Linked DNA regions of Diceros bicornis minor. The protein of the gene in region 1 purifies or fractionates together with the protein of each later gene. This does not show direct contact. Links are inferred from orthologs where the notes say so. Each region holds a gene or a part of one and is shown in the gene's direction. Other genes may lie near its edges. The genes, in order: HDAC1, GLI1, BCL11B and core histone macro-H2A.1.

Evidence for each region.
Region 2: the proteins of HDAC1 (region 1) and GLI1 purify together in Homo sapiens (affinity purification with western blotting; 3 studies listed by BioGRID). This does not show direct contact. The link is inferred for Diceros bicornis minor from reciprocal best matches to the Homo sapiens genes HDAC1 and GLI1.
Region 3: the proteins of HDAC1 (region 1) and BCL11B purify together in Homo sapiens (affinity purification with mass spectrometry; 4 studies listed by BioGRID and IntAct, with this or other methods). This does not show direct contact. The link is inferred for Diceros bicornis minor from reciprocal best matches to the Homo sapiens genes HDAC1 and BCL11B.
Region 4: the proteins of HDAC1 (region 1) and core histone macro-H2A.1 purify together in Homo sapiens (affinity purification with western blotting; 3 studies listed by BioGRID, with this or other methods). This does not show direct contact. The link is inferred for Diceros bicornis minor from reciprocal best matches to the Homo sapiens genes HDAC1 and MACROH2A1.

The regions. Positions count from the first base shown.
Region 1 is NC_080752.1:47,051,593-47,058,519, forward strand, and holds the start of HDAC1 (histone deacetylase 1), read left to right. Parts: upstream 1-3,925; 5' UTR 3,926-3,982; coding exon 3,983-4,031; intron 4,032-6,927. Other genes in the region: tyrosine-protein kinase Lck, read left to right, coding at 279-481. UniProt on the Homo sapiens protein: Histone deacetylase that catalyzes the deacetylation of lysine residues on the N-terminal part of the core histones (H2A, H2B, H3 and H4).
Region 2 is NC_080756.1:11,495,205-11,502,774, reverse strand, and holds the start of GLI1 (zinc finger protein GLI1), read left to right. Parts: upstream 1-4,556; 5' UTR 4,557-4,678; intron 4,679-4,892; 5' UTR 4,893-5,040; intron 5,041-7,570. Other genes in the region: INHBE (inhibin beta E chain), read left to right, coding at 687-984, 1,243-2,000. UniProt on the Homo sapiens protein: Acts as a transcriptional activator. Binds to the DNA consensus sequence 5'-GACCACCCA-3'. Regulates the transcription of specific genes during normal development.
Region 3 is NC_080763.1:44,454,254-44,461,688, reverse strand, and holds the start of BCL11B (B-cell lymphoma/leukemia 11B), read left to right. Parts: upstream 1-4,425; 5' UTR 4,426-4,739; intron 4,740-5,713; exon of another isoform or gene 5,714-7,086; 5' UTR 7,087-7,435. UniProt on the Homo sapiens protein: Key regulator of both differentiation and survival of T-lymphocytes during thymocyte development in mammals.
Region 4 is NC_080740.1:54,404,668-54,411,591, reverse strand, and holds the start of core histone macro-H2A.1, read left to right. Parts: upstream 1-3,911; 5' UTR 3,912-4,013; intron 4,014-6,924. UniProt on the Homo sapiens protein: Variant histone H2A which replaces conventional H2A in a subset of nucleosomes where it represses transcription. Nucleosomes wrap and compact DNA into chromatin, limiting DNA accessibility to the cellular machineries which require DNA as a template.

The DNA.
Region 1 (6,927 bases):
TCTGAACATCTTCCCTGTCTGTGGGCTTCCAAAGTCTGGAGCCTTGGGCTGGCTCCATGGCTTAGCAGTTAAGTGCGTGCGCTACGCTGCTGACGACCCGGGTTCGGATCCCAGGTGCGCACCGACACACCGCTTCTCCGGCCATGCTGAGGCCGCGTCCCACATACAGCAACTAGAAGGCTGTGCAACTATGACATGCAACTGTCTACTGGGGCTTTGGGGGGAAAAAAAATTATAAAGTCTGGAGCCTTGATGTTGTTTCTCCCATTAACCTCTAGGGATGACCAATCCTGAGGTGATTCAGAACCTGGAGCGAGGTTACCGCATGGTGCGACCTGACAACTGTCCAGATGAGCTGTACCAACTCATGATGCTGTGCTGGAAGGAGCGCCCAGAGGACCGGCCCACCTTTGACTACCTGCGCAGCGTGCTGGAGGACTTCTTCACAGCCACAGAGGGCCAGTACCAGCCCCAGCCCTGAGAGGCCTAGCTGGCTGGGGCCTGGAGCCCTCCCCCATCTAGCCAACCCAGCTCTGGGAGATAACGGTTCTTGTGTCATACCCATGTGGCCTATGAACGTACGGACTCTGCACCACGTGAATCCCGCCCATGCATGACACACACACTTCTCGTGTCTTATACACGGGTTCTGTAGTTGTGTGGGCTCTGCACATGTGTCTTGTACATGTGTGGCCTGTGCATATATGTCTTGGACACTTGTCCCTTTCTGGACCCTCCCACTTCCGGAGACCACCAGAGAGAGGAGCGAGGCCTGTGATTGACACCAGCTTCTGCTCGCCCCCTTTTCCTTTCCCCTGGTCATCAAGAAGCTCCTTGAGGGCCAGGACTTTATCTAATACCTCTATGTGCTCCTCCTTGGTGCCTGGCACACATCAGGAGCTCAATAAATGTCTGTTTGTTGATGAAGATTGTACATCTCTCTGCTCCCCACTCCCATCTCCTCTTCCTTGGGAGGGGGGAGGAGCATTCAGAAGATGGAAACTGAGTCACCCTGAATTGGGGTGAGAGATAGAATAAGGGATGTGTAAACTTTTTCCAGCCCTGCTGATGTTGGGGGCCAAGAGGAGGTCACTTGCTACTACACTTTGCTGTATGGACTTCAAACCACTACCCCAAAGGATTAAGGGTGACCATTACCCAGAACCTCCTAGGGAGTGGGTGTGTCCCAGGACTCTCCCCCCTCCCATTATATAAGGGCACTAGCATTTTTTACAGCTACGGACTCAAGGGCTATATTTGGCCTCAGATATGTTTTGATTCACTTTCAAGATGTTTTTAAACATTGAGTTAATTCACTCATTTAACAAATATTTATTGAGCATCTACTGTGTGCCAGGCATGGTTCTGGGTTCATAGGATATATAGTAGATAAAATAAACAAAATCCCTGCCCCTTTGGGGCTTACATTCTAGTAATGGAAGACAGACAGTAAACATCACAGAGAAGTAAAGGATATGTATGCTATAGGTGATGAGTGCTCAAGGGAAAACAGCAGGGTAAGGGGAATTAGGACTGTCATGTTTAGGGGAGGTTTGCAATTTTAAAGAGGGTGGTCTGGGAAGATCTCATTGAGAAGGTGATTTTCGAGCAAAGATTTGAAGGAGGTGAGGGAGTGAGGGATTGAGCCATGTGGTATGGGGGAGGGTCTGTCAGGCAGAGGGAACAGCATGAAGCAGAAGCTTGCCTGGCAACCGCAGAGAGGTAACGACAGCCTGAGGGAGGGGTATAGATCCTATGGGGCCTGGGGCCTTGTGGCCTTTGCAGGAGCCATTTTGAGGAGCCTTTGCAGGGCTTTATGCAGAGCCTGACATGATCTGACTTATATTTTAAAAGGATGGTTCTTACTGCCGTCTTGAAAATAGACTGAGTTAGCAGTCAATTTATACTACTGGTGAGATTTTGCATAAAACTCCAGATTTCTGCCTTCTCTTGAAAAAAACAGGAGGATTTGGCTCCGTCAGGCTTACCTGTCCTCATGGAGCTGAGTAGTGGCCACACTCTTCAGGTGGGGCATGAGCTCTCTCTTTGCCAAAGTCTCCTCCACTCCCTATTGCTCCCAGACAATTAAACTAAGTGTTAGTAGCTATTTATTATCACGCTCGTGCTGTTTTTCTTACAATAAAGAGGAAAATGAAATGATTTTTTGCACCCACATTTCCATTAAAAAGAGAAAATTAAAGATACCTGAAGATGGCAGTGTGTTTGAAGAAAGGTGGGGGAAATGCATATTTATTTATGAAAGCGAAAAAGAATCCAATTTTGAAAATATGCAAAGTGACAGAATCAAACTAATATAAATAATATAGTATGAATCCACTCATTTACATCACCTGCTTGATCTCCTTAGGCATCTGAGTTTGAGATTCCTGTTCTACATTTTATAAAATGCTGCCACACCCATGACTTCAACTGATCCCCACTCTCCTCCTCATTTGGACAGTGTAGCCATAGAGTCTGTGAACTTTTTATTCTCATTCTCCATTTTACAAAGAGGGAAATGGAGGTCCAGAAAGGTTCCTAGCAACACAGAAGCAGCAACACAGAACTGGGAATAGGGTGTGTTCCCTGGCCCTGGCCCTTTGCTGTTTCTATAGTAGAACTGACCGGTCTTAGATCTTCTGTTACCTTTATCATTAATGACCCCAATGCAGTTCCCAAGCGAGGAACACAAGTGTCCAAGCACTCTTTAAACTGTAAAGAGGAATAAAAATGTATCTTATTGACTATAGGACCATGAGTGAGTAACTTATTTGGCATATAGTAAGCACTCACTAAATATTAATATTGTTGTAATTGTTATTTTAATAGCCCATCATGGTGCTTTTCAGTCTTTCAGCTTTCAATAATGACCAGTTGATGACTGATCATCAGTGCAGTGGTTCTCAAGGGGAGAGTGGGGGTGGGGGTGCAATTCTACACTGCCTCCAATCCCCTCCCCCCTTGCCCCGGAGACAGTTTTGCAATGTCTGGAGACAATTTTGGTTGTCACAACTTGGGGGATGTGCTACTGGCATCTAACGAGTAGAGGCCGAGGATGCTGCTAAGCTTCCTACAGTGCACAGGATAGCCCCCTCCGATAAAGAACTATCCAGCCCAAAATGTCAGTAGCTTCAAGGTTGAGAAACCCTGCTCCAGAAGAGGACAATCAATTTCCTCCTTTTTAAAGGCACTCCTTCTGGGTGACTGCATCAGGAAGGTAGGCTTTGGAGTAAGAAAGTCTGGGTTCTGCTACTTTGTTACAGCCTCTGGTGCATAGTAGGCCTTCAAAAAGTCTGTACAGTTGAAAACTGAATTTAATTACTAATTGTGCAATTCTGAGCAAGTCACAAAGGCCTGAACTTCATTATGCTTATCTGTAAAATGGGGATAAAAAGCCCTACTCCAAAGCTGTTGTGAGGCCTGAGATAACCGAAATAACGCTGGTAAAACTATTGTACAGTACTTGGCCTCCAGCAGTTTTCTTTCGTTTGTCAGATTACCCCTCCCTCCTCCAAACTCAGGTTCTAATCCAGGTTCAGCCCTTTTGTGAGTTAAGTGACCTTGTGCAAGTCACTTTTCCCCCATAGGCCTCAGGTGATTCTTTGTAAAATTACAAAATTGACCTCTGATCACCAACCCCAAAGAGGGACTGCGAACTTTACAGACCGCTTTCCTCCCCCGGGACTAATGGTACGGTCCCCGGGCAGCTTCCCCCACCCCCCTGTCGTCGACCTTGGTACAGGCCCAGGGGGCCCTAGGCGGCCTCTCAGGGCTGCCCTTGCCCCCTGCCGAGTTCCGGGCCGTCCCTGCGCGAGCTGATTGGCTGGAGCGGTGCCCGGGCTGCGCGGCTATAGGTGATCCCGGGAGGGGATGGGCGGAGCGCGCTGGAGGCCCGCCCCCTCCCCCCCTGGGTCGGACGCTGCGGAGCCGCGGGCGGGAGGACGGACGGACCGACCGACGGGAGGGACGGGAGGCGAGCAAGATGGCGCAGACTCAGGGCACCAGGAGGAAAGTCTGTTACTACTACGACGGTGAGCCCCGGCCTCGCGGCGGGGGCGGGGCCTGGCCCGGCCGGATCCCGGAGAGGGAGGCTGAGGCGATCTGAGGGGGGAGGCTGGGCGAGGCAGGGGCGTTGAGGGAAGGCTGAGAGAGGAGGCAGAGGGGAAAGGAGATCGAGGCTGCGGGACGAGGCTGATTGGAAGGAGGTCGGGGCTGAGCGACGAGGCTGATTGGAAGGAGATCGAGGCTGAGGGAGGAGGCTGAGAGGAAAGGAGATCGAGACTGAGGGAGGAGGCTGATTGGAAGGAGGTCGGGGCTGAAAGGAGGCTGAGAGGAAGGAGGTTGGGACTGAGGGAGGAGGCTGAGGAGAGGAGATAGAGGCTTAAAGAGGAGGCTGAGAGGAAGGAGGCCGGGGCTGAGGGAGGAGGCTGAGAGGAAGGAGGCCGAGACTGAGGGAAGAGGCTGAGGCAGAGAGGGGGTCATCCAGGGAAGCCTGAGGTCATCTTGGCGGGGGGGAATCCTGAAGAAGGCTGATGTGGAGACTGAGGGGGACTCCTGGAGGGGAGGCTGGGTCTGAGGGAGGAGGCAGAATCTGATGGAGAAGGTTGCAAGGGTGTATGTTTCCTGCTGAGAAGACAAAGGTCTCCCCCGCGCCTTCCCTGCCTCCTCTGTTTTGGTGAGAGTCCTGCGGGAATCACCAACTCGTGGTCACCGGCTTCCCCTCCCCCCGCCTGCGAGCAGGGCCTGCAGTTGCTGCTGGGAAATGGGGCCCCTGGGGTTGGAGGGAGAAGGATGCAACCTATTAAAACAGACTTTTTCATGTAACAGAAATCTGTCGACCAACTTGCTCTGTTGTAGGGAGTGTTGAGGTGCTGGGGCCATGGGAGGATCAGGTCACTTCCCATCTTCGTCTCAGTCGGGAGGGGAAGACAGACAATGACGGAGAGCTGCTCTCCACTATCATGGCGGGATCAAGGAAAGCACAGAGGGGAGGCGCTCGGCCCGGCATGAGGAGTCAGGGAAGGAGGTGCCATCTCTTAGGACCTGAAAAACAGGAGTTGTTAGCCTGGCACAGGGAAGTCCAAGATAACAGCAAGTTTAGGGGTAAGAGAGGACAGCACCTTTGGAAAACAGCAGTTGTGTGTAGAGTATGGCTGAGGCCTAGATCTGAGGGCAGAGCGCAGAGGGTAGGGAGCAGGGGCCAGGGAAAGGTTGCCAGTGATGAGGCTGGAGAAGTAAATGGGGACTGGATCCTGAAGGGCTGGGCATACTGCCCTAAGGAAGTTGGACTTTATTCTGAGGGTGCTTATGAATCATTGAAGTTTTATGCAGGTTAGTGACATAATCAGATTTATACCTTAGGACAGAAATTAAATTCATGAACGCAGGGGTAGGGAAGAAGGTGAGAATCCCAAGTTTCTGGTTTGGACAGTTTGATACAGAGTGTTTGAAGGCCATGTCAGTTGATAACTGTTTTTTTTTTTTAAGAAAAATTCGTTGATATGTCTGGGGGCTATCCGAGTTTTTGGGTGTCCAGTAGGCAGTTGGCCATTCAGGTCTGCAGTTTAGAAGAGAGCAATTTTTGGTAGTCGTCAGCATACAGATGGTAATTTTAGTTACAGAAGAGGATGTGGTCACCCAAGAAGTTGTATGGGGTGCAAAGGGAAGAGGATCCAGCGTGGAATCCTAAGGAAGTGGACTGAGGAAAAGTCTAGTGCCCTTCATGCTCTGTCATAGCGCTTGTCACTGTGTATTGGAATTGCCCATTTACTTCTTCATACTTCTTACAGACAGTAAACTCCTTAGGGAAAGGGACTATGTCTTCTCTACCTTTGTATGCTCAGCCCCCAGAACAGTGCCTATCTCATAGTAGGCTCTCAATAAATACTTGTTGATTAAATGAACAAAGATACAGAGGGAATGGCCAGAGATGTAAGTGAATCCGAAAGTGTTGGGTTACAGTAGCCAAAACAGGGAGGGAGTGGCCTAGTGTTGGCAAGCACTGTTTCCTGTGCAGGGTTTGGAACTGAAGCTAGATTGCAGTAGACTGAGGAACAAATGGATGGGGGAAGAGGAGACATCAGGTTGAACCCTTTTTGAAGGAAGCTTCTCCAGGGCAGAGAGAGAGGGTTGTTGATAAAGGGGAGGTATAGTGGCTGAGAGTTGAATTTCCAAATTCTTATGGAAAATAGCCAGAGAGAAGGAGAGGTTGAAGATATAAGAGAGGGGCTAGTAATGATGGAGTTTTCTGAGACCAGGTGAGATGGAAACCAGAGCACAGTTAGGGACACCAGCCTTCAAGAGGAAGTTCCTTCGTGACAAGAGGGTAAGTGGCAAGGAAGAGTTCAAGTGTAGGTAGGTTTGAGGGGGAGAAGGTGGGGAGGAAGTTGAGGGAGTTTTCAAGATGAAGTAAGAGAATAGTCTTTTTCTTGCAAGTCGGGGAGGGCAGTTGGTAGAGTAGGAATCTTGAAGAGAGAGAGCTGTTCAATAGCTGTTGTGAAAGAGGGAGCTAGGAAAAGAAATTTGGAAGGAGTGCTGGGCGGTGGTGAGGGCCCATTTGAGGCTGGAGCCTATGACTTTGTAGCCATATTAGTTTGCACAGTTGTGATCTCCACACACTCAGTTTAAAAAGAGGAAAAGTGGAAAGATCCTGGTCTTTAGAGAAGGAGACTTCTTTTTGAGAAACTTCTTGTGAGTTTTGCAGTGCGGTCACTAGCTTGGGACTCAGATTTGGCTCTGCCACTCAGAAGCTTTGCAGTATTGGGCAAGTCACTTTACCCTTCCAGGCCTCAGCTCACTCTCCTATAAAACTGAAAAATTATGAAAATGGGGAAAAGCTCTTTAAAAGTTTAAAAGTAGTATCTAAGTAAAAAGGATTATTTCTTTTAAGTCTTTCAGCAACCTGGTTAAAAACTCTTAAGAAAATGA
Region 2 (7,570 bases), on another chromosome or scaffold:
CACCAGAGTTCTCCTTCCAACCCAGAGACCCCAGAGAAATAACCACTGGAACTCCAGCTGCCTCGTGGAAACTGCTGCAGCAGAGGTGGCTGGGCAACCTAGAAAGACTGGGGTCTGGGGGGAAATGGCCCGGCCCCACCTCGTTCATATGGAGTTCCCGCCCCCGAATTCCAGACCTTGGGGCCTGAGCATGTGAAATCATCCTCTTTCTTGCATCATGTGTGTCCACATTGCCCCCCCACCCCCATACCCCTACCTCAAGCTCAGTGACCAGGGCCAGATGGTGAAACCCGAGCTCCAGGGGGGAACCTCCCCCCCCTGCAGGGACCTGATGGGCAGCACAGCCGGCCAATCCTGAGGCTCAGAGGGTAGGTTGCCGGCTGACCACTAGGTGAGGGAGCCCCAGGCCACTGGCTCTAAAGAGGCCCCAGTCAGTAACAGACATGAGCTGTGAGGGTCAAACTGGCAGACTTCGCTAAACAGAGCTACCCATCGGACCATCCTCTTCCTGCCCTCCTGAGTCCCAGGCAACAGAAGACAGGTGGTTCTACCCTTGGCCAAGGGTAGGTGTGGCACTGCTGTCTGCTGCTGCTGTGCCCTCGTTAGCCTCCACGCAATCAGATTCAACAGAAGGAGCAACTGCCGTCTGAGGCTCCCAACCCGACCCAGGGCCATCCGCCAGGAGCATGGGGCTCCCTGATGTCCAGTTCCAGCTGGTGCTGCTGTGGGCGCTGGTGTGGGCACAGGGGGCAGGGTCTGTGTGCCCCTCCTGTGGGGGCCGCACACTAGCACCCCAAGCAGAACGAGCTCTGGTCCTGGAGCTAGCCAAACAGCAAATCCTGGAGGGGCTGCACCTGACCAGTCGTCCCAGAATAACTCATCCTCCACCCCAGGCAGCGCTGACCAGAGCGCTTCGGAGACTACAGCCAGGAAGTGTGGCTCCAGCGAATGGGGAGGAGGTCATCAGCTTTGCTACCATCACAGGTAGGTGAGGGAGAAACAGGCAGAGAGCAGATGGGGAAAAGGAGGCAGAAGGGGAGACTGACAGAAAAGGCAGAGGGAGTGGGGTGTAGGAGGAGGAGGCGGAGATGGGGCAGGGACTGGTTGCGGAGGACGCAAAGCAGTCCCTGTTTCTTCTAAAGGTGGGTGCTAGGGAAAGCAGTGGGCCGGGCTTATGGGACTCTCAGAGCAGAGCTTCATCTCTGCTCACGTTCCTCAGTCCCTTCTCCATCTTTCTGGCAGACTCCTCCACTGCAACCTGCAGCTTCATGCTCACCTTCCGCCTGTCCACTCCTCAGTCCCACCACCTGTACCACGCACGCCTCTGGCTGCACGTGCTCCCCACCCTTCCTGACAGTCTTTACTTGAAGATCTTCCGATGGGGCCCAAGGAGGAGGCGCCGACGGTCCCGCGCCCTCCTTGCTGAGCACCAAATGACAACCCCGGGCTGGCACGCCCTGACTCTGCCCTCTAGTGGCTTGAGGGGTGAGGAGTCTGGTGTCCTGAAACTCCAACTAGACTGCAGACCCCTAGAAGGCAACAGCACAGCTGCCCGACAACCTCGCCGGTTCTTGGACACAGCGGGAAACCAGCAGCCCTTCCTGGAGCTTAAGATCCGGCCCAATGAGCCTGGAGCAGCCCGGGCCAAGAGGAGGACCCCCACTTGTGAGCCTGAGACTCCCTTATGTTGTAGGCGAGACCATTATGTAGACTTTCAGGAACTGGGGTGGCGGGACTGGATTCTGCAGCCCGAGGGGTACCAGCTGAATTACTGCAGTGGCCAGTGCCCCCCCCATCTGGCTGGCAGCCCCGGCATTGCTGCCTCCTTCCATTCTGCTGTCTTCAGCCTCCTCAAGGCCAACAACCCTTGGCCCTTTGGTAATTCCTGCTGTGTCCCTACTGCCCGAAGGCCTCTCTCTCTCCTCTATCTTGACCGTGAAGGCAATGTGGTCAAGACGGATGTGCCAGACATGGTGGTGGAGGCCTGTGGCTGCAGCTAGCAAGTGGACCTGGGGGTTTGGAGTAAAGGGATCACGTTGGGGGTTCCCAGGCAAAGGGCATCTGTGGCTGGGGGCATCAGATTTCTGATCCACAGCCCCACCCAGTGGGCCACCTGGCAATATGACTGGGTTGACCTCTATGGGACCCAGATGGGCACTTTCTTGTCCAGCCTCTGGCCTATTCCAGGCTGGTTGATGTGTGGGGAGATAGGGAAAGTGTGTCTTCTAAAGGAATCTACCCAGAAAGCATGATTTCCTACCCTAAGCCCTGTGAGAAGATGGCAGAGGTGGGGGGGGGGGGGAGGAGAAGGCAGAGAAAAATGACTTAGTCTCTCTCAAGAAGAGAAAGTCCTCAAGTGAGGGAAGGAGAAGCAGACCGAGGACCCAGCAGGCTTGGAACAGCGGAACCGGCTGGCCAAGGGTAGGGGCTGTCGAAGTGCTTTAAGGGAGGGTCAAGAGGGAGATGGGCAAGGGGCTGAGGGAAGGTGTTCAGGAGAGCCCCAGAAATGGGAGTCAGGAGAGAAGGGTGCTGGGCCTGAGAAGTTCCCTGGTTTTTCCTGGGGGGGCAGGACCCAATGGGGAGACAAACGTTTCTACTTTCCTAATAAAAACAAGGAAAACAAATCAACAAGTGTGAGTCATAAAGAAGGGCTGGGGTGATGGTCCAAAGCAAAGGTTCTCAAGGTGCGGTCTGGGGACCCTTGGGAGGTCCCTGAGACCCTTTCAGGGATGTCCCCAAGGTCAAAACTATTTTCGTAATAATACTAAGATGTTATTTGCCTTTTTAATTTTCATTATCTCGAAAGCATACAGTGGAGTTTTCCAGAGGCTGTGTGACATGTGATTACATCATCTGACAGCATTGTTAATGGGATGGTGCTTGTGTATTCTTGTGTTACAAACTTTTTTTCAGTTTTAATTTCTAATATGGTAAATTGATATAAACCACATAAACAAAACCTCAATAATTTTTAAGTGTAAAAGGGTCTTGAAACCAAAATGTTTGAGACTCGCCGATCTAGAGACCTCGGTGGGGAGGACAAAGCACTGTGCTCTAAAAGAGCCAGCCTGAGGGAAGGGGCAGATGGCTGGGACTGGAGCATGTGTAGGGTCCCTTCTTCTCTAGTGACCATTGGTCTTGCCTGACCCTCTGGGTATAACTGGTGTCTGGGTCAAAGTCATGTGGGGGAAGGAGGGTCAAATGTCCCTGCCCAATTACTACCTATACTTGTAGGGCCTCAGAGGTCTTCCTAGCTGCACTTTTTCCATGGACCCTCAGACTGAATACTGAACCTAGTGACCCCCCAGGCCCAAGGAAGTGGTTCTTGGAAGCAGAGCTAGGATGTGGGAGGTCTGTCTGAGGGGTGACATAAAAGGAGGGGACTCCTTTCCCCCACCACGCTTTCTCCCCTTTCTCATAAGGAAAAGTCAGAGAGACTAAAATAGCTGCCCCTTCCCCTGCATCTGGTCGCCATGGCAACACAAATCCCAAGGCACAGGGCACTCGCCTATCAGTTAGGTACTACCGCTCTGCGCTAGCAGCCTCTGCCGGTGTGCCCTCCGTTTCTGTGGGCTCATACAACCCCCTCCCTGGGCTCCTAACTGGGCCTTGGGTGGGGAGACCTGCTAAGTCTCCCCCAGTCTCCTCTGCCTCCAGTCAGACTCTGAGAGGGTGTGATGTGGCAGAATGGCCAGCAGAGGGAGCAGACAGCCTTGAGGAGCCGAAAGAGAGCGGGCAGCGCAGAGGTGCGGAGGTGGCCGCAGTCTCCAGAATTTAGAGATGAAGGAGAACGGAGGTTCTCAGGGAACATGCTTCAGCCCCAGGGCTCCTTTGTAACCTTGTGAACACACGCTGCACCCAAAGCCTGAGCCACCTGCTCCTCTCTTTTGTGCTTCATAGACTCCCTCACCTTCCGCGCAGGGCCGGCGACCCCAACTCTGTCCCAACCCTGTTTCCATCAAACTCCAACTCTGTCCCAACCCCTTCACGTTCCATCCGATGGGTGAAGCCGGCAGATAAACCACAGGGTGGCGGAATGCTCAATCAGCACCAGCCAAAGTCGACGACCCAACCTTCAATATTATCTTTCTCGGACGAACTTTTAGTCGCCCCGGCCCCCCGCCTCCCCCCCCCCCCCGCATATATCTATCAATCTTTTTTCTGGTTCTGATTCAGGGCCTCTTCGTGGGTAGTCGATCCAAGGATCCATGCCGGGATTTACTGCCCACCAGCAGCAGCGTGTTCAGCGGGGGGGCAGGGGGGGCAGGCAGTATAGGGTCCCTCAAGGGAGGGGGAGGATCCTGGGGGTCCTGGGGGTGCAATAAGCCCGGCACCCCCTCTCTCGCTTCCAGTTACCCCGCCTCATCTTCCAGAACGGTGAGAGGGAGGGAAATAGGAGGGAGGTGAGGGGCGAGCGGGAAGAGCGGCGGCGCGCCAGCAGCTTGAGCGAGAAAAAGTTTTTGCAAAAAGAAAAAAAAAGTTTGCGCTTCTCGCGGGTGGTCCCGGCTCGCGGCCCGGCGGGCTGGGCCGGCGGGAGGGCTGGGGGCCAGGTTAGGGCGGTGGGGGTGGCACTGAGGCTGCGCTGCTGTGGCCCTGTCCGCCCCCCCTCCCCACCGCACACCCCCAGCCCAGACTCCAGACCTGGACCGCGCATCCCGAGCCCTGCGCCCAGGCGGAGGTGAGAAGGGGGGCGCGCGGGGGACCACCTGGGAGCGGTGGGGGAGGGGGCTTGAGGGGATGCTCTGCTTGCGAGGGACTCTGCCCAGCCAAGAGGGAGACCTGGGGCCCAGAGGCAAAATGGGGGTGGGAGAGCCTGGGGTGAGATCTTAGAAAGTTTGGAGAATTTTTTCATTTGTGTCTCCGTTTCTCTGTATCTTTTTTTCTTCTGACAGTCTGTGTGTCTCTGTCTCAGGCAACCGTGGATCTCTTTGTCTGTCTCTGCCTCTCCCATACATTAGAAACATCTCACTTCCATGAGGTTGGGATGAAGAGGCTGGAGGGACGGCTAGCTGGAGGTCTGCGTGGTAGAGGGAACTCCAGGTGTGTCTCTGAGCGCCGGGCAGGAAGACGTCAGTGTTTCTGAAAGGAGGGGACAGCTAAGGAGAGAGCCCTAGGTGGGGTGGAGATGGGTGTGTGTGAGGCGACAGAACCACCGGGGGGCGGCTAGGCTTGAACCCCTGACCTGTCTTGTGACAGATGTGCTTTCGGGTGCATGTGTTTTGAGGAAGAGGAGTGCCTTCTGGACTAGGAGGGTGGCTGGAGGGGCCAGTGTCTAGTTTAGGCCCTAGAAAGACTCCCCAGGGAATTTGGACTCCTGAGTCCCAAGGGCTGTGGGCAGGGTGCTAAGGAGGAGCTGAGGAGACCTTGTCTTGACCCTCTGACCTCAGGACCACCAGGGCAGCTGGGGCCAGCCGCAGGGAGACCCCTACTGGGACTGGGCGGGACCACTGGCCGCTGCCTGCTTGTGCATCCCTGTTGGCCCCCCTCCCAAACGGGAGCTGGGGACCGAGGCCCCTCCTCTGGCTCAGACCACCCTGCCTGCCCTTGCTCCCCGCTCTGAAGCCTCTTTCAGGCCCCGTGACCCCGAAACAATCCGCCCTGGGCAGCTAGCTTTGGGGACAGGATTAGGGAAAGGGGATCCCATAGAGACCGGGGACTGAAGGTTTTAGGGGGCTGGAGAATTGGGGTCTTGATAGGATAGATCTTTACGGTCCAGTAGAGGGAGAAGGCGGGGCGATTTCCCGGGGGAGTTGTGAGGGCCGGAATTAGGGTGGTTTTCCCTAGGGGGGCGGGGTCCAGAGACCCCCCCCCATTATCTCCCCGGCATCCCCTGCCAGGCGGCACAGACCCCGCCCTTGACGTCACTAAGGGGTTCCCGGGGGTCTGGAGGGGTTAACCCTTGGGAAGCCATCCGGGACACCCGGGAACCTGAGGTGTCCTGGCACCTCCTCCTCCCCATACACACCTTATTTTATTTACCCACTTTCTCTCCCTACAGTTTCGGCATTCTTCTTTCTTTTCCACGCCGCCACGGGGACCCCCACTCCCCAACAGTGCCCCCCCCACCCCCGCGCCACTGCCAGCTTTCTGGATGCACTGAGGGGAGGAGGGAAGAATGTGTCCCGCCTCTCACCGCCCCCCTTCCTCCGACTCCACTGCGGCTCGCTCGACTGGGCTCCCGGGGCGGGCGGGGGAAGCGGAGCCGTCTGCAGCCAGAGCCTGCGGCGGCGACTTGGGTGGGCCGAGAAGGCACGGAGGCGGGGAAGGCGGGACCGGGAGAAGGGGGCGGGGCCGACTCCTGGGAGTTGGGGAGCGGGGGTGCGAGGGGGACTCTGGAAAATAGGGAGACACAGAAGATGATTCAGGGCTCCGGCAGGGGAACCCTGGAGCTCCCTGCCCCATCCTCGCTCTCACCCACACCCCAGGAAACGTAACTCAAGCTGGAAAAGTTGGCGAAATTTTTCTTTCACTAGTGTGAAGGGGAGACGTGGGTGGGCTGTGGCACGCGTGGGTGAGGAGGGATGTCGCCCCACTTCCAACTCTGCTCCCCTGCGGCTGGGCTGTGGGGCAGGACGATGAGAGTAGGCACGTTTGGGGGAGTCTCTTTAGTGTTTGGGGGGTCATTTGCGAGCCCCCGCCTCCTTCCCCTGGGTGAGTCATAGAAGGAGGCGGGAGAAGTGTCCCCCCATCCAGCTGCCAGCCAGCTGTGCCCCCCCACCCAACCTAGTGCCAGGGTCGAGTTGGGAGGTCTTGGATGCGGGACCCGGATCTCCGCTGGGAAAGGAGGAGTTAGGAAGGGTACAGCCCAGGCTGCGGGGTTCGGGCTGGATCATGGGGTCCCGGTTCCGCTCCCCATCTTACCCCGCCCTCACCCTAAATCCCAGCATCCCGGGATCACCCACCGCGCCGGCCGGCCCGCTCCCGGTCGTTCTCCACCCTACCCCGCCCCACCCCACCCTCAGTCCCGGGAAACCGGAAAACCCGGGGCGGAATAAAAACTGGAGTTTGAGGAGAAAAGCGGACAGCGGCAGCCTCTCCTCCTTCACTACTCCTCTCTAATGGATGATGGCTTCATTTTTTCATTCTCTCAAAGCCTTCCTTCATAGTCCTTCTCCTGTTCCCAAAACAGACCAAAAGAATTTAGATGGGAGCCCAGATTCAAACCACCCCAGAATAACATCAGAAAAACATTTCATCCTTTCACCCAATAGACCCGGGAGGCTCCCCTCAGAAACCTTATCCCCTTCTACACACAGTTTTCTGCCATAGGGAGAAAAGGGCAGATCGTCGGTGATCTCTCCTGGCCCCAGCAGCTTCTGTCTGGGCTGTGGCGAGAGCGCCCTCTGCTGGACACTGGAGAGACTGTAGACGGGCTGTCCCCGGGCAGGAACAAATGAAGGAGAGGGAAAGGGGCTGAGGCAGAGGAGCCAGCCCAGGGCTTGAAGTCAGATGCTCCGCATGAGTTCCCCATCCCACCTGTCAAAGCTGGCCCGTGGTCTGAGCAAGAGGAAAGAGAGGGCCCATGGTATAAAGTCACTTGAAGCTCATATAGGCACAATTAGTCCACACC
Region 3 (7,435 bases), on another chromosome or scaffold:
GCATTGAGGTACCGGGAGCTAATTAAGGTGTTTGATAGATTTCAATTGGAGTATGAGTTCTTGCCAGAAACATCGACAATTCGATTCCCCAAACACAACGTGGAGTGTTAAACCCACTAATGCTTTATACATTACTGTGTTCCTTCCCAGCCGGAATGTGTGGTCTGGGTACAATACCAAAATGGTCCCCAAACAGGCCTCCTCACTCTTCAGTTCTCTAATTGTTCCTGTTAAGCAGATACAAATAATGAAACTGCATTTCCAACTGAATCCCAACAGCTGAGGAATCCACCCATTTGAATCCGGAGGTCCAAATTCAGACGTTAAAAAATCGACCGTAAATCTGCCCTGTATTTAGATGGCAGACCATCGGAGACAGGTCAGAGATGGGCGTCTTCGCTCTCACCCACTGTTTCATTTCAGGACACATGTGGGAGAAAGGGAGAGAGAGAGAGAAGAGAGAGAGAGGCAGAGGGGCTTTGTCACAAGTTCAAATGGAAACGTTATTGCCACATCCATATTTTAGAAGCCATTGTTGTTTCAACGATCCCAAAGGCTTAAAAATCACAGTGAAATCATTTTTTTTAAAGGATTCAGATTAAACTAATACCAGAACGCACAGCAATTCAGCGTCTCGGTTTTCCCTGGGCAGCATTAATTATCTTTTGTTGTAGCAAATTGTTTGCCTTGTAAATTGAGCTGAAAGTGTGTCTTCACGCAGATGCAATGTTTTAATACGTGCACAATAGAGCAACTTTTATAATTTCCACGTACTATAGGTATACTATTCCATCTCCAATAATGCGCCCGTGGTTCAAACTTTGTGTTGCAGAAGCTTGTGTGCTTGTCATCTTGCAACATTAACCCTTCTCTATTAAATAGAGGGAACGCCACTTAAGTGTTTTCTAGGATACAAACTACCTTTGTTAATTCACTCGAAAGCATACGTGCCTGTTTCCAAAACTACGAAACAACAGATGAGATCTCCCAGATCCTTTTTTCTTTTCCAGCTCTGGAAGGCATTTGCGAAACAAGGTGTTGGCTGGTTTTTATTTTTATTTTTTGGTAAGTACCGCCTTGCAGCCTTCTCATTAGCCTGCCTTTTGGAGGGATGCTAGCCTGACTCGTGCTTCTCTCTCCTTCTCTGTTCTTCCCTAGGCCAGTACTTCCCCGGATTCTCTTTCCACTGCTTTCTTTGTGGAGCATCACAGCACAGACAGGAGTTCTCAGAGCCTGGGATTGGCGGTGGGGGCAGAGCTTGCAACTGAGTCAGACTTGTCTACAACTCCTGCTTAGCATTTACTGAAACTTCCTCTTTCTCAAACTGCTTAAGGATACAAACTAATTAATCCTCACAGCCTCATAAAACCCCTTGTTAGGAAGGTGATCATTATTGCCTCCATCTCGGCCGCTCCCCGTTTCCTATCACCAGACTCAATGCAGCGCCAGTTCTGACGGCAGCGCCTGACAGCCAGAGTCGGAACTGAAAATTCCCTTCTGCATCCCAGTTCTTTCCCCAAATGAACCATTTTAACTCTCTTTCTCTTCCTTGTCTGTGGTCTAAATAGGGTAGATTGACAGTCACTAGACCCCTGAATTTAAACTGGTGTGTGTGTGTGTGTTGCACTTTTAGTCATACAATTTGGAGACTCAGTGACAAGAGGGAAAGCAGCAGAGAGACTCTTTTGTACAACACACCACACACCACACACATACACGCATACACACTCCCCACAGCCACTCTGATCTCTGTGCACATGGTGGGGTGGGATCTGGTGGAGTCTGATTGTCTTGGTGAACAATATTTCTCCCAAGTCGACCAACTGGGTGATGCCAGTCCCTACCGAATTTGAATTGATGACTCAACTAAAGCATTAAAATTAGCAAGGCAAGAAAATTCCAAATGAGGTGAGAAAGCTGTAGAAATAGTTCCAGATCCCCTAGTACTGAGCCATTCAATATCATTTCTGATGACAGGGACAGAGCTAGGAACAGTCAATGTGGGTGTGAGTCTTTTTCATATACGGAGAGCTGGGTAAGTATTTTTTAAGGAAAATAATACATGAATCAGGAAGAGTGACTTTGATTTAACCCCTTGCAGGCTGCAGCTCTAAAGACAGCAGGCAACGATGCCTCTTAGTTTTTCTAGAGCTTGCCTATGCTTCCCGCAGTTAAGCAATGGTTGGAAATCTACTACTGTATCAAGCCCAAATATTACTTGCAGAAATAAGTAAGGTGCAAATGATGTCATGTTTTAACAAAAGCGATGTTACTAAATTCAGGACACGGAGAGAATCATCCAAACGATTATCAGAAGGCAAGTTTTGTGGTCCTGTCTCTGCTATAAGGTGACAATCCGAAAAACTCCTCCAAATGCAGCAAAGCCTGAATTGAGTGCTTACGGCATTTAGAAATTTGCCGTAATTTTCAGAAATGATATAAAACAATTTTATAAGATATGCCGGGAAGCCCAAAAGGCCTCTTTTGTCTTTTTATGCTTCTGGATTTGATAGCTCCTAGAGATTCTAGAACTGTAAGAAGAAGATAAGGACCATCTCGGGAGCCTTATTAATATGTACATAAATATGACTTGCTTAGTACCTCCATTGCGGTTTCTTTGAAAGTTAAAACAAGTCAATCCACTGATCAGAACGCTGCATTTTATTTATCCTCATTTTCACAGTCAATAGCGTTTATAGATCCTGAGGAGTAGAAATTAGCAGACACAGTTTGCTTCTGAGTCTGCCCTACACCTGTGAATACGAAAAGATTCGCCTTCTCTTTGCACGGATTTTTTTTTAAAGCACCATAGATGAACCGGTTCTGTAAGATGTGCTGTTAAGTTTGTATATTGCTACAAAGTTATTTGACTACATTTTAGAGGATGGATCCATGTTAAAAAAAAAACAGCAAATGAAAAGTCGATTTTTTTCCAGCATAAACGTTGGGAGTTCTCATTTCTACTGACACTACTTATCTTGATTCTTTCCAAATTTTTGTAAAGACGTCATAGAAAATCTAACAGCTCAGAAGGCAAAGATAACATTGTAGAATCGCAAATAGAGCCCACCTCAGCTAAGAGTTAAGGATTGAGAATCCTTCAGAGAATTTTAAACAAGAAGCCTGGCTAGGAAGTCACGTGTCTGTTTAATCTGCCCCCCCATGCGTGGCATGGTACGAGAAGCACACATAGGGAATCAGAGCCCCACACAAGGTTAATAAAAATGCACTCTGATTTGATGCAATGATTTCTGATTTCTGAACTATTCTTCTATAAAGAAATTTAAAGTGACTGAGAATATGGGGGATTATCTGCTGGAATGCACTCTGAAGCTAGAAAAAGAAAAGCAGGGAAATATTTGTGAGTTCAAAAAGCTTTTTGACATCTGCTGTTTTATCTTTTTTTTTTAAAGATAGTGCAGAAAATGTGGTATTTCTTTCCATCTGATTGCAGTCTGCACAAAGCCACAGCCCTGGGCCCAGCACCCAGTAGGTCTGCAGCAGGTGCTGGAGAAATGAGTCTGAAGGATTGTAATATGACTCAGGACCACGTTTGTACTTGTACTTTTTCCTCTTTTATTTTCATATGTTAAGCACCCGCTCCCCCTCACCCCCCCTTTTTTGGGGGACGGAGTGACTTTTATTCTAAACAAAGACTTGGTAGATGAAGTGGTGGGGTGGGGGGGTGTGTGCGCGCGCCGTGACCTTCTCTGAAGAGTACTGGGTCCCCTGTCTGCCTGGGGTTCTGAGGAAAGGGTAGGGACGGGGCTGTGTCCCGGGCTCCCCATCTCCTCCCGCCCCGCCCGCCTGTTGTCTGGGCATCCGGAGAGTGGGGAAACATTAGTGTGGGCCAGCTGCCTAAGCCGGGCGGGGTCGAGGGAGAGGTCAAGGTCGGCGGAGAAGCGGCTATTGATCCGGCTTGGAACGCGAGACAGGGAGCGCAGCAAGACTAAAGGGGGAGCTGTGAGACCAGACATTAACAGCTTCCACCGCTAATGATGCCCGTGCCAGACGGGCAGAGGGAAAAAAAGGAGACTGGAGCGGCAGCTGGGATCGCTTGCTGCCTGCGCCCGGCCGCCTTTCGGGAGAGAGGAGGAGGAGGAGGGCCAAGGGGCCAGCGCGGGCTGGGCAGGGGCAGGGCAGCCTCTCCCGGGCCGCCGCGAGGTGGAGCGCGCCGGCCGGCGGCGGCGTGTCCGGCCCTGCGCCGGCCCGCCCGCGCGTCCCTCTTCCCGCCGTCGGGGCAGCGCGGGGCCAATGAGGAAGTGCTCCCCGGGTCAGTCGCGGCCCGCGCCGCCCCCTGCCCGCTACTTCCTGCTGGGGGTGGGGCGGGGTGCCCCCTCCCCAGACTCCGCCGCCCGAGCGCGCGGGGGGCGGCAGCTGCAGCCGGGGCCCCTGGGCGCCCCGCGCAGTCCGCGGAGGGCCCCCTTTCTTGAAGGCGGCTGCCGCGTTCCCCGCAGCCACAGACCCGGTCCCCCTTCCTTGTTATCATCGCCCCGAGGGCGAGTGTCGCGTGTCGGGATTTCGGGTGCCGGAGCGCAGGCGGCGCGGGGCAGCAGGCACGCGGCGGCGATTGGAGTCCAGACTTGCCCCTTGCGCTGTGTAACCTTGGGCAAAACGCTAACCTTCTCTGGACTTCACACGGCCAGTTCTCGGAAAGAGACCTAACAGCTCTTCCAAATTTAAGAATCTGGGCGAGTTGGGATGACCGGTTTATGGTTTTCTTAAGAAGTTTATGAAAGGTGCGTGTGGGCATTTTTTCTTACTTAGGCCACTTTCCTGGAAAGATTTTCGCGGTGGGGCTAGATGAGAGGAGAGGGAGGCGCTTCTAGACTTTGGACCACGTGGAGGTGGAGTGTGGGTTAGGAGTAGTGGGCAGCGGCGTGCAGTGGTGGGGAGGGGGAGTGCCGACTTGCCCCCGCCCCTTCCACCGCCCAGTCTCCACCCGCTTGGCCGCCGACCCTGCAGCCCAGTCCGCAAAACTGCATGCTGGGGCACATTTTATTGTTATTATTTTTGGGGGGGTGGTTTAGGCAGGGAGCTCTTTCTGGCCTCGCTAATGGGCGCTGCGCTCTGTTGAGTTGCTGGTACGGTGACCCCACCCGAGACCTTGGAGGCGAACAAAAACCCCATGTGCCCCCCAAGGAAAAGGACCCGAGGGAGGCGGCGAGCCCGGAGGCGTCTCGGCCTAACCAGTCGCTCGGGTGAAGCCGCCGGAGCCGGGCCTGGGGGCGGGGTGGGGTGGGTGCAGCTGGGCTCGCCCGCGAAGCCCAGCCCTGAGCCAGGCCCCGACCCGCCCTGGCCGCTTCCCGGCCCAGACCAGGAAACCCTGAGAAGGGAGAGAGGTCCAACCGCGTGGCGCGTCCAGCCCGGGAGGTCAGGTCATCAAATAGACGAGTTGGCCACGGCCTGAGGAGGGACGAGGCTGGGGGCGGCGGAGTGTCCATGCAGACCGCGGCCTGGCCTTGTCCGCGGGCCACGGACAGGCCCCCACAACTCCTCTTGTCCTCGCCGGCTGGAGATCAAACGGCTGACAAGGCAGCTGTGTCCTTCCCAGTCTGACCGGAGATTTCAAGTCCTGCCCTGGGCGGAGGAGCACTGGGGGTGGGGGCGTCACTTTCAGGTTGCAATAATTGTCAGTGAGTGGGAGGGAACTGGGGGACCTGAGGGGATCATCCACAGGAGTGTCTTCAGAGTACCGGCCCCGCCTACTTCTGGGTCAGCGCCGACAACTCCCTCTCCCACGTGGAGCACCCCTGCCCCCTTAGCCCCCACTTCCTGCTGACTCTGGTGTTAGGGGGTGGGGCCCGGATTTGACCCGCAGGAGTTAATGGGGTGAAGTGGAGAGAGCTCACAGATTCCGGTGAGCATTCCTTCCGGAATGGGACTCAAACAAGGTCTCATGTCCCCCTCCCCCAAATGTGCTCTTAATTCTCTCCTCTGTATATCTTTTATTTTGTCCACTTCGCTCTCCCAGAGTTTGTAATATCAGGATTTATATGGAGGTACTTTTTGGAAGTTTAACCCCGACCCCCGAATAAAACAAAAGTAAAAACAACCAAGCTACTTTTCCAGGGAGATGAAGCGACTGACCATGTCCCCCATGTCGACTCCAACCCTCCTCAACGCCGGCCCCCCCCCGACGTCCAAAAGAGCTTTCGATGGGTGGGTGGGGACTTGCGTTAATTCAACTTACTTCCACGCACGCAGCACTCCGCCCCCCTTCTCAGGGGGTCCTACTCCCAGGAGGGGAGGAGGGATGAAGAGGGTTTTCTTTTATTTAAAAATATCCTGCCCACCGTCTCCCCCCTCTTTGCGCTGCCAGTGCACGGGGAGAAGAGGAGCGCACAAAAACGCTGTTTGCACGTGTGGCCGGCCTGGACTGCGGGTGTGCGCACGGGCGAGTGTGTGTGTGTGTATGTGTGTGCGCGCGCGCGCGAGTGTGGCTCTGTGTGTGTGTGTGTGCTTTCTTGTTCTCTTACAGGGTACAATGTTAAAAAGCCACCGCTAGTCGCCCCCAGTGCTCCGACTCTCTGGGTCTTTTTGTCTCTAGTGCAGATTAAACGTCACGTCCGCACTTGAACTTGAATTTTATCCCATTGTACAGAGGCAGCCCCAGCCATAGAGAGACCGAGAGCTCCCAGAGAACCCGGACTCCGCCATCTTCACGTTGCAATCTATAGCTCCCAGTCCGCGCCCGCACCGACCCAGGCGCACTGGGCGAGCCGCCCCTCAGCCCAGCTCCCCCCGGGCCCGCGGCGCCAGGGGAGCGCTGGGGAGCGCTCGCGGGGACCCGGCAGCCTCTCCGGCCGGCGCCAGCCTGCCAGGTGAACTGGGAAGGAGCCGCTCCTGGAGTCAGTCCCCCAGAGCCTCGGAAGGGTCAGTCTCCGAGAAAAAAAACAGGCAGCCCGCAGAAAACCCAGAAACCACCGAACCGGGGCAGCTTTACATTGCTGTGGGTTTTTTGAGGGGGCGGGGTGAGGGGATACGAGACAAGTCCTCAAGTTTTCTTTTCTTTTTTTCCTTTTCTTTTTCTTCTTTTCTTTTTTATTTGTTTGCATTTTTTCCCCTTTTCCCCCCTCCTGGTAGAAGTGCGCTTTCCACCTACCAGACCCTGAAAGAAAGTCTCAGGAGCCGGTGCAAAATCCGGTTTAAGTTCAAGAAGACATTTGGAAGTCCAGGAGGCCAAGCAGTTTGAAGAAGTGTAAGAGATTTTTTTTTCCTTCAGAAGAATATATTTTTAAAGAAACCGGCCACTCCGCGGCAAGCAACAGCATTTTTTTTTTTTGCCTCTTTCTCCTATTTTAGATCGAGAGGTTTTTCTTTTCTTTTTTGTCTTCTGTTTTTCTTTTTGCAAACAAAACAAAAAACAGCATAGAAGAAAGAGCAAAATAAAGAAGAAGAGGAGAAGGAAGAGAGGGCAAGAGAGGAAGGGAAA
Region 4 (6,924 bases), on another chromosome or scaffold:
TGCAGTCCTCAATAATTTAAGAGGATAAAGGGGGTCTGAACCCAAATAGTTTGAGAACTGCTGTTGTAGAATAACTACCTGGTTAAATGTTCATAAAGGACCATTAAGTTTAAAAAGCACGTGATAAGCACTAAACGCAGTAGGAACCTGAATATGTTCAATATTAAGTAGATATGGTTGCAAAGGCTGGAAGGCGAACAGTGGTTCTCTTCTAGTGGTGTACTTAGGGTGATTTTTATTTTTGGCACATTTTTATTTTCCAAGTTTTACGTGGTGAACATGCATTTATTTTGCAATTGGAAAAAAAACCTGAGGGCTAGCCTGGCGGCATAGTGGTTAAGTTTGCGCACTCTGCTTCGGTGGCCCGGGATTTGCAGGTTCGGATCCTGGATGCGGACCTACACACCACTCACCAAGCCATGCTATAGCGACGTCCCACATACAAAATAGAGGAAGACTGCCACAGATGTTAGCTCAGGGCCAATCTTCCTCACCAAAAAAAAAAAAAAAAAAGAAGCTGAGGAAGCCCCCTGAGCCAGATTGGGGAAGGGGACAGGTCACGCAGATGGAAGAACAGGGCATGCAAATTGCTGGAGAGAAAGAGGGTGGAGCCTTCTGGAGCGAGCTGGAGACAGGGCCTCTGCCTTGAACAACGCCAGGGGACAATATTTCTAGTGAGTTCTATGAGAATGGCACGCTGTGGAGGGGTGTAGGGGGTGGAGTTGGCACCAAGATCAGCTTTTGGAGGAGTGCAGACTCTAACCCAAGGACAGTGGTGCATGACCGAGTGGGGACAAAAAGATCCACTCTGAATTGGGAGGTGTGGGGAGGACGGATGCTGGGTGGAGAGGAAATGAAGCCCCCAGAGGGGCTCTTTTCAGGCCTGAACATGAAAGCTCTGGTCCCAGATGAACGTGGGTTTGAACCCCAGTGCCAGCCTACTTTCTCTGAGATCTCAGGCATTTTTCCTGGCTTCTTGAATCTACAGTGTCCTCATCTGTACAAAGGGGATAGAAACGTCCCAGAAACAGCCTGTCTGCAGAGCTGTTGTGAGGAGGAAATGATGGGATATACGTGATCTGGCAGATGGTGAGAGTGCAATAAGATGGAGAGCAAGAAACGGCCTTTTACCCGCTTCCCAGTCACCAGGCAAATCAACTGAGTCAGAAACCAATGCTGGGCTGGAGGTGAGGGAGTTACTTCTTGGCTTCCTAGAGTTGCAGATTGGGATCTATTGGACAATCATCCTCTGCATCTGGCCTTGGTCATCACTCAGGACCTGGGGAAGAAGCAGCCTCAGGTCTGACCACTACCAGGGCATCAGCAGGCTGCAAGCATCTCCCCCTCTCCACACAGCCTGGCCTTCCCCGCAGCCCAGCAGTTCTCTCTCGTTCAAGTTTCCAGGAGTACTGCTTATGTTTTGCACCAGGGCCTGGACAGTGTGGTAACACACCTAGAAAGTTTTCCTCTCTGGGAAGGAGCCTGGCACGACCCTGGCACACAGCAGGTGCACAGCAAGTGTTTGTTGAGTGAATAAATGGAGTCTGGCATCCTCCAGACTTGCCATGGCCCACAGAAACCTTGCGTGGTGGCTGGCCCCTGCGGAGCTGAGACTTGCCCAAGGACCCAGGGAGGGGCAGAGCAATGACATGAGGTAGTCTCTGCACCTTCCCTGACACCCCTCTGCAGCTTCCCTGGGGGATCCTTATGCAGCCAAAATACTTTGTTTTGGGACTCAAAGAATCATCATTTCTCCAGCCTCACCTCCTGTAACTCTCTCCCCTTTGCTCCTTCCACTCCAACCTCACACTCACTATTCCTTTTTTTTTAATTGAGATATTAGACACGTAACATTGTGTAAGTTTAAGGTGTACAACGTGTTGATTTGATACATTTATATATTGCAATACGATTACCACCTTACTGTTAGTTAACACTTACATCACATAATTTTCTTTTTTTTAAATTTAATTTTCTTTCTTATTGGGGAAACATTGGTTTATAACATTGTAAAAATTTCAGGTGTACATCATTATATTTTGCTTTCTGTATAGACTACATTGTGCTCCCCACTAAAAGTCTATTTATCATCTGTCACTGTACAAATGTGCCCCTTTACCACTTTAGTACTCATCAGCAGATGAATGGATACAGAAGATGTGGTGTACATATACACACACACACACACACACACACACACACAAAGGAATACTACTCAGCCCTAAAGAAAGATGAAAGACAAATATCATTTCTTTTTTGTGGTAAGAGCACACTCATTATTCCTTGACAATTTTGGAATGTCCAATTCCTGCCTCAGGGCCTTTGCACTTGCTGTTCCTCATGCTTAGAACACTCTCCCCCAGATATCCACGTGGTTTGCTCCCTCAATTCCTTCATGTCTTTGCTTAAATGTCACCTTCTCAGGGAGGCCTCTAAAATTTGAAACCCCAACCCATCTCACCCTCCCTATCCTCCTTCTCTGCCTTATTATTTTTCACAGTGTTTACACCATCTGACACATCATCTCTTTTGCCTATTGTCTTTCTTTCCCTACTCGACTGCAAACCCCAGGTGGGCGGGCATTTTTACCTGTTCGGTTCACTGCTTCATCTTTATCACCCAAATTGATGCATGGCACAAAGTAAGACCTCAGTACTTAATTGAAATGAATGCATGAATGGCATGCATTGGACACTGCTTTGCAAACTGTTACAGTTTGGTGGGTGTAAATCATCATCTGGAGGAGAAGAGGTTACCACCGCTGCTGTAGGGGGCAGCCTGAGGGCTGGGAGGGGTCTTTGAGGACTTCCATAATCGTCCCCCCAACACCTCCAGCAGCGGTACACTAAACCTCACATCAACTCTGCTGGGCGTGTATTGTTATCTAAATTTGGTCACAGCTGGGTGCTGAGGTGGCTTCCCCTTCCACGCTTTTGGCAGATGGAGAGGAGGAGAGTAGAGGGAAGGCTCCTATTTAAGTACTCCGAAGGGTCCGCTAACGCCTTCGGGAGAGAAAACAATTTAGCAATACAAAGACCGGCTTTGAGGTGGCCCTTCCTCTTTCTGCTTGTCCGCAGTTTCAAAAAAAGTGTGTGATGATAAAGAATCACTGTTTATATTAATAAATCCCCACTTGGGTCCAATAGAGAACGTTTGCTGAATCGAAGTAGCTAACGCTTCCATGCGCAAAGCAGGTGCAGCCTTCTGAGGGTCACTATGAAGAGCCCGAGGGGAGCCGGATGTGCAGCAGCTGGCCGTGGGGTCAAGTGTGATGGGGTTAGTATTTAGAGACCGCGGGAGGCTCTGAGGAGCGCGGGAGGTTTGCATTGGCTGGGGAGGGAAAAGTGCTTGCTGGTAACAGCAACTGTGCCTCCCTCCCTGGATCAATGGGAAGACTTCTAGGGATAAGGCAGCGAAAGGCCCGTGCTGAGGGCCAGGCACACGTAGGCGCTTAATCAGTGTCACTCGAGACACACAGGCTGGGACGCGTTCTGGAGGAGCGCCTCTGCCTGGGGCCCGACCCTTTCCAAGGACTTAGCTCAGGACGCGCCCCAGGCTCAGGGCCGGACCCTGTGTCCGGCGTCCACGTCCAGGCGGCGTGCCTGAGGGCGGAGGGCCAGACGCCAGGGCCTCAGGGCAGCCAGGGGACAGACTGACCGACGTCCAGGCGGCGGAGCGCCGAGGGCCGCCGCGCGCGCAACCGCGGGCTGGGGTCAAGGCCGGGGCGCCCGGGTGGCGCGGGAGGGGTGGCCGGACGCGCGGGGACGGGATGGGATGTGACGAGCGGCGCGCTGTGCATTGTGGGAATCCCGGGGCCGCGGCGACTGGTTCCAGTTCACTCAGCAGCGGAGCCGGGCGGAGGGGGCGAGCGCGCGGCGCGGGCGGGAAGCGAGGAGGCGGGCGGGCGGGAGCGCGGGCGGGCCAGCGAGGAGCGCGGAGAGAAAAGGCGCGAGCGGCCGAGAGGGCACGGGCCGGACACCTTGCTGCTGCCGCCGCCGTCGCCGAGCCGCCCCGTAAGTGCCGCGCGGGCCCCTCGCCGCGCGCCCCGTCCCCGCCGCCCGGGTCCGGCCGCCGCGCTCTTCCGGCCGCGGGTGCCTGGGAGCGGCCGGGCCTGGCGCGCACCGGGCGGCGCTCGGCCGGGCTCGGGCTGCAGCGCTCGGTGCGGCCGACGCCGGGGCCTCGCGCGCGCACGGCGCCCTCCCAAGGCCCCGCCCGGGCCGCGCGGGATTCCCTTTGGTTTTGTTCAAAAAGCAAACCCGGAAGCCAACTTCTCCTGGAACCGCGTCCCCCTGCCCGCGCCTGGGCGCTTTTGTGGGAAGGAGACAGTTCTGGCCCCTCCCCCGGCGTCCCTTCCCGGTCCGTGCGGGCCGGGCCGGAGGCCGGAGGAGGCCCCGCGGCGCTGGCTGGCCAGCCTGGGCCTGGGCGTCCAGGAGCTGCTGTGCCCAGAGTTGTACTTGGTGAGGCGGCCGCCGGCCCGCGAGTTGCCGGCCCCGGCACAATAAGTCGGGCCCGAGCCCCAGGTGGCCGTGGTGTAGAAGTCTGGCTCGGCATCTGCCGGGAGCGTAGGGTGGGGGACTGGGGGATACTCGCCGGACTGAAGCCAGGCAGGGGCGGGCAGGGGGCTATCCAGGGACTGGCTGGAGAGGGACCACGGGAACCCCCGCTGCTCTCGCTCCTCTCCTGATCGGCCTTTTGTTTGCTTTGTGGTTGGGAGTTTTTTTTTTAAGGTAACTCCGGAAGGCTGTAGGCTCCTGGGTGGAGGAGGCCAGGAGGGAAGAGACTCGCTGGGGGTGGGGAGGAGTGGGGAGGTGAGTGTGCAGGATGCTGCTGGCCGTGTCACCTGACAACAGGTGTGCAGGGTGGCGCGCCCCACCTCCACTCCTGCAGAGACCACGAATCACTCAAGGGTCTTGTCAATAGATTGCTTGGAAAGTCCTTTTAGACGAGATGTTAGGGAAAATATTCTTGAGTTTGAAAGTGCGAGATTTCTGTGCAAATAGCTGAGACAAACCTTGAATTCAACAGTTACAGTTACCAGGAAGTCCTGGTAAGGTTTTAATGATCCAATAAACAGCGTATAAGAATAGACAATTAGAGGGGCACTCCTGCTGGCTTCTCTTTTTCTTCCACCTTTGTGGTTTGAGGTTTTACCGTCGAAGAGGAGGGAAAGTGCTTTGTTCCAAGGCTCCCTGCTCCAGGAACTGGGAGATTTTTGAACAGCTGTAGGTTTGAGTGGGAGACTGTAGTTGCAAATTAGGTGGAGTCCACCTACTGCAGGCCGCCTTTAGGGTACTTGTCTGCTATTAGGAGTTGTTAGCTCTGAAATGGACACCTCATGCCTGCACTGAAATTAATACCCCTTGTACACAACTAACCAGGGTTGGGCCGCGACATCTCAGTCTTGCACGAGAGGCTCTCCAATAAGGATAGATGTGTTTTAAAATCTTTTTTGTTTAAACCCTCAAGACTTTAAAAGTTTCCCCCCTCTAGTTTTAAGAGGAAAGTAGGAAATTTCTCCAGTCTGTTATTTTGTTTTAATGTTACCACTGTTAATGCTAATCCTTAGATAAAGGCATTAAGGAGGAGGGAAGGGGTTAAAGTAAGTGAAAATTGTTTAGAATGAGCAAGGGATGGCTCGCATTTGGATAAATTTGAAGAGTTGTCGGGGACATCACACATGAGACTCTAATACACGACCGTAAGTCACTGGCTTGGTCTACACCAAATGTGCCAGGGTCAGGGAGTGGTGCACCTCAGTCTGCCATTTCTTCCGGCCCTGGAGACGGCAGAACTCCGGGAGAGCCCTCATCCCTTCCGCACGCAGAGGCTTGGAGTACGTGTATTCTGGGACTGCCTCTAATACCTTCAGAGCTAATGCTGCCCCAAGTCATTTAAAGGAGACTCAAATAAACAAAAACACAAACTGAAAACCCCAAGCTGACAAAACCCAACAAGAATCTGTATGTGGTGTTCGTCAGAATTGCAGCAGCCTCTTGGTCTCATTTGAGTGTGTCTTGGGTTTTTGACAGCCCCGTTGTTGGTACATAGGCTGGGAAGGAGCAGGGGTGAGTGGGGCCCGTACTTGTCCTTGGTCCTCCCTGGGTTCTGTAGGTTTAGGAGTACATTGGGCCCCACCTCAGCTCTCAAGAGTGAGCTCACGTGGGTCAACTCTTCATTCCAAAGAGTCGTATAGCTTGTTTGCTTGGATCAAGCCTGCCAGATGGGTGTCTTGCAGTCTTTTGATAAATATTTCCTGAGAATCAACTCTGGGTCAGGCACTGGGGACAGGACCATGATCAAGAAATGCCCAGTCCTTGTCCTTGGGAAGCTGATGTGAGAAGGAGAAATAGGCAAGCATCCGTTGCAAGGTCAGTGCAGGAGGTCAGAGTAGCTCCCATAGTAGCCCCTGGGACAGTAACCTGGCCAGGAGCAAGCCTTTACCAGGCACTGAAAGGCCACGTAGGAGTCAGCTGGGCAAAGGAGGGCAGGTGGGGACAAGTATTTGAGGCCTGGGGAACCACATGTGCAGAGTCTTAGAAAATGAGGATAGAGGTGAGAACTGCCAAAGGCTCAGGATGGCTGGATCCTAGAGGGGGGTCAAGTGAAGCTAGAGGGTCAAACAGGCCGAATCTCAGAGGATGCTGGTCAGCAACACTGAGGAATTTAGACTTCATCCTGAGAGCAGTCAGAAGCCGTTGAAGGCTCTGAGCCGGGGAGACACATGGTCAGATGTTCTTTATTCTTATTGGGAAGTCTTCATCTATTCAACGAATATTGAATGGCTTCTAGATACCAAGCCCTACCAGGGTCCTGCCCTTCTGAAGCTCGCATTTTATCTTTTCCTTTGATGGTCTTCTGTTGGAGTGGTTATCTCAGAGTTTGGCACAGCCTTTAATAGAGGAGGTGTGAAGGAAAGTTTTCTTG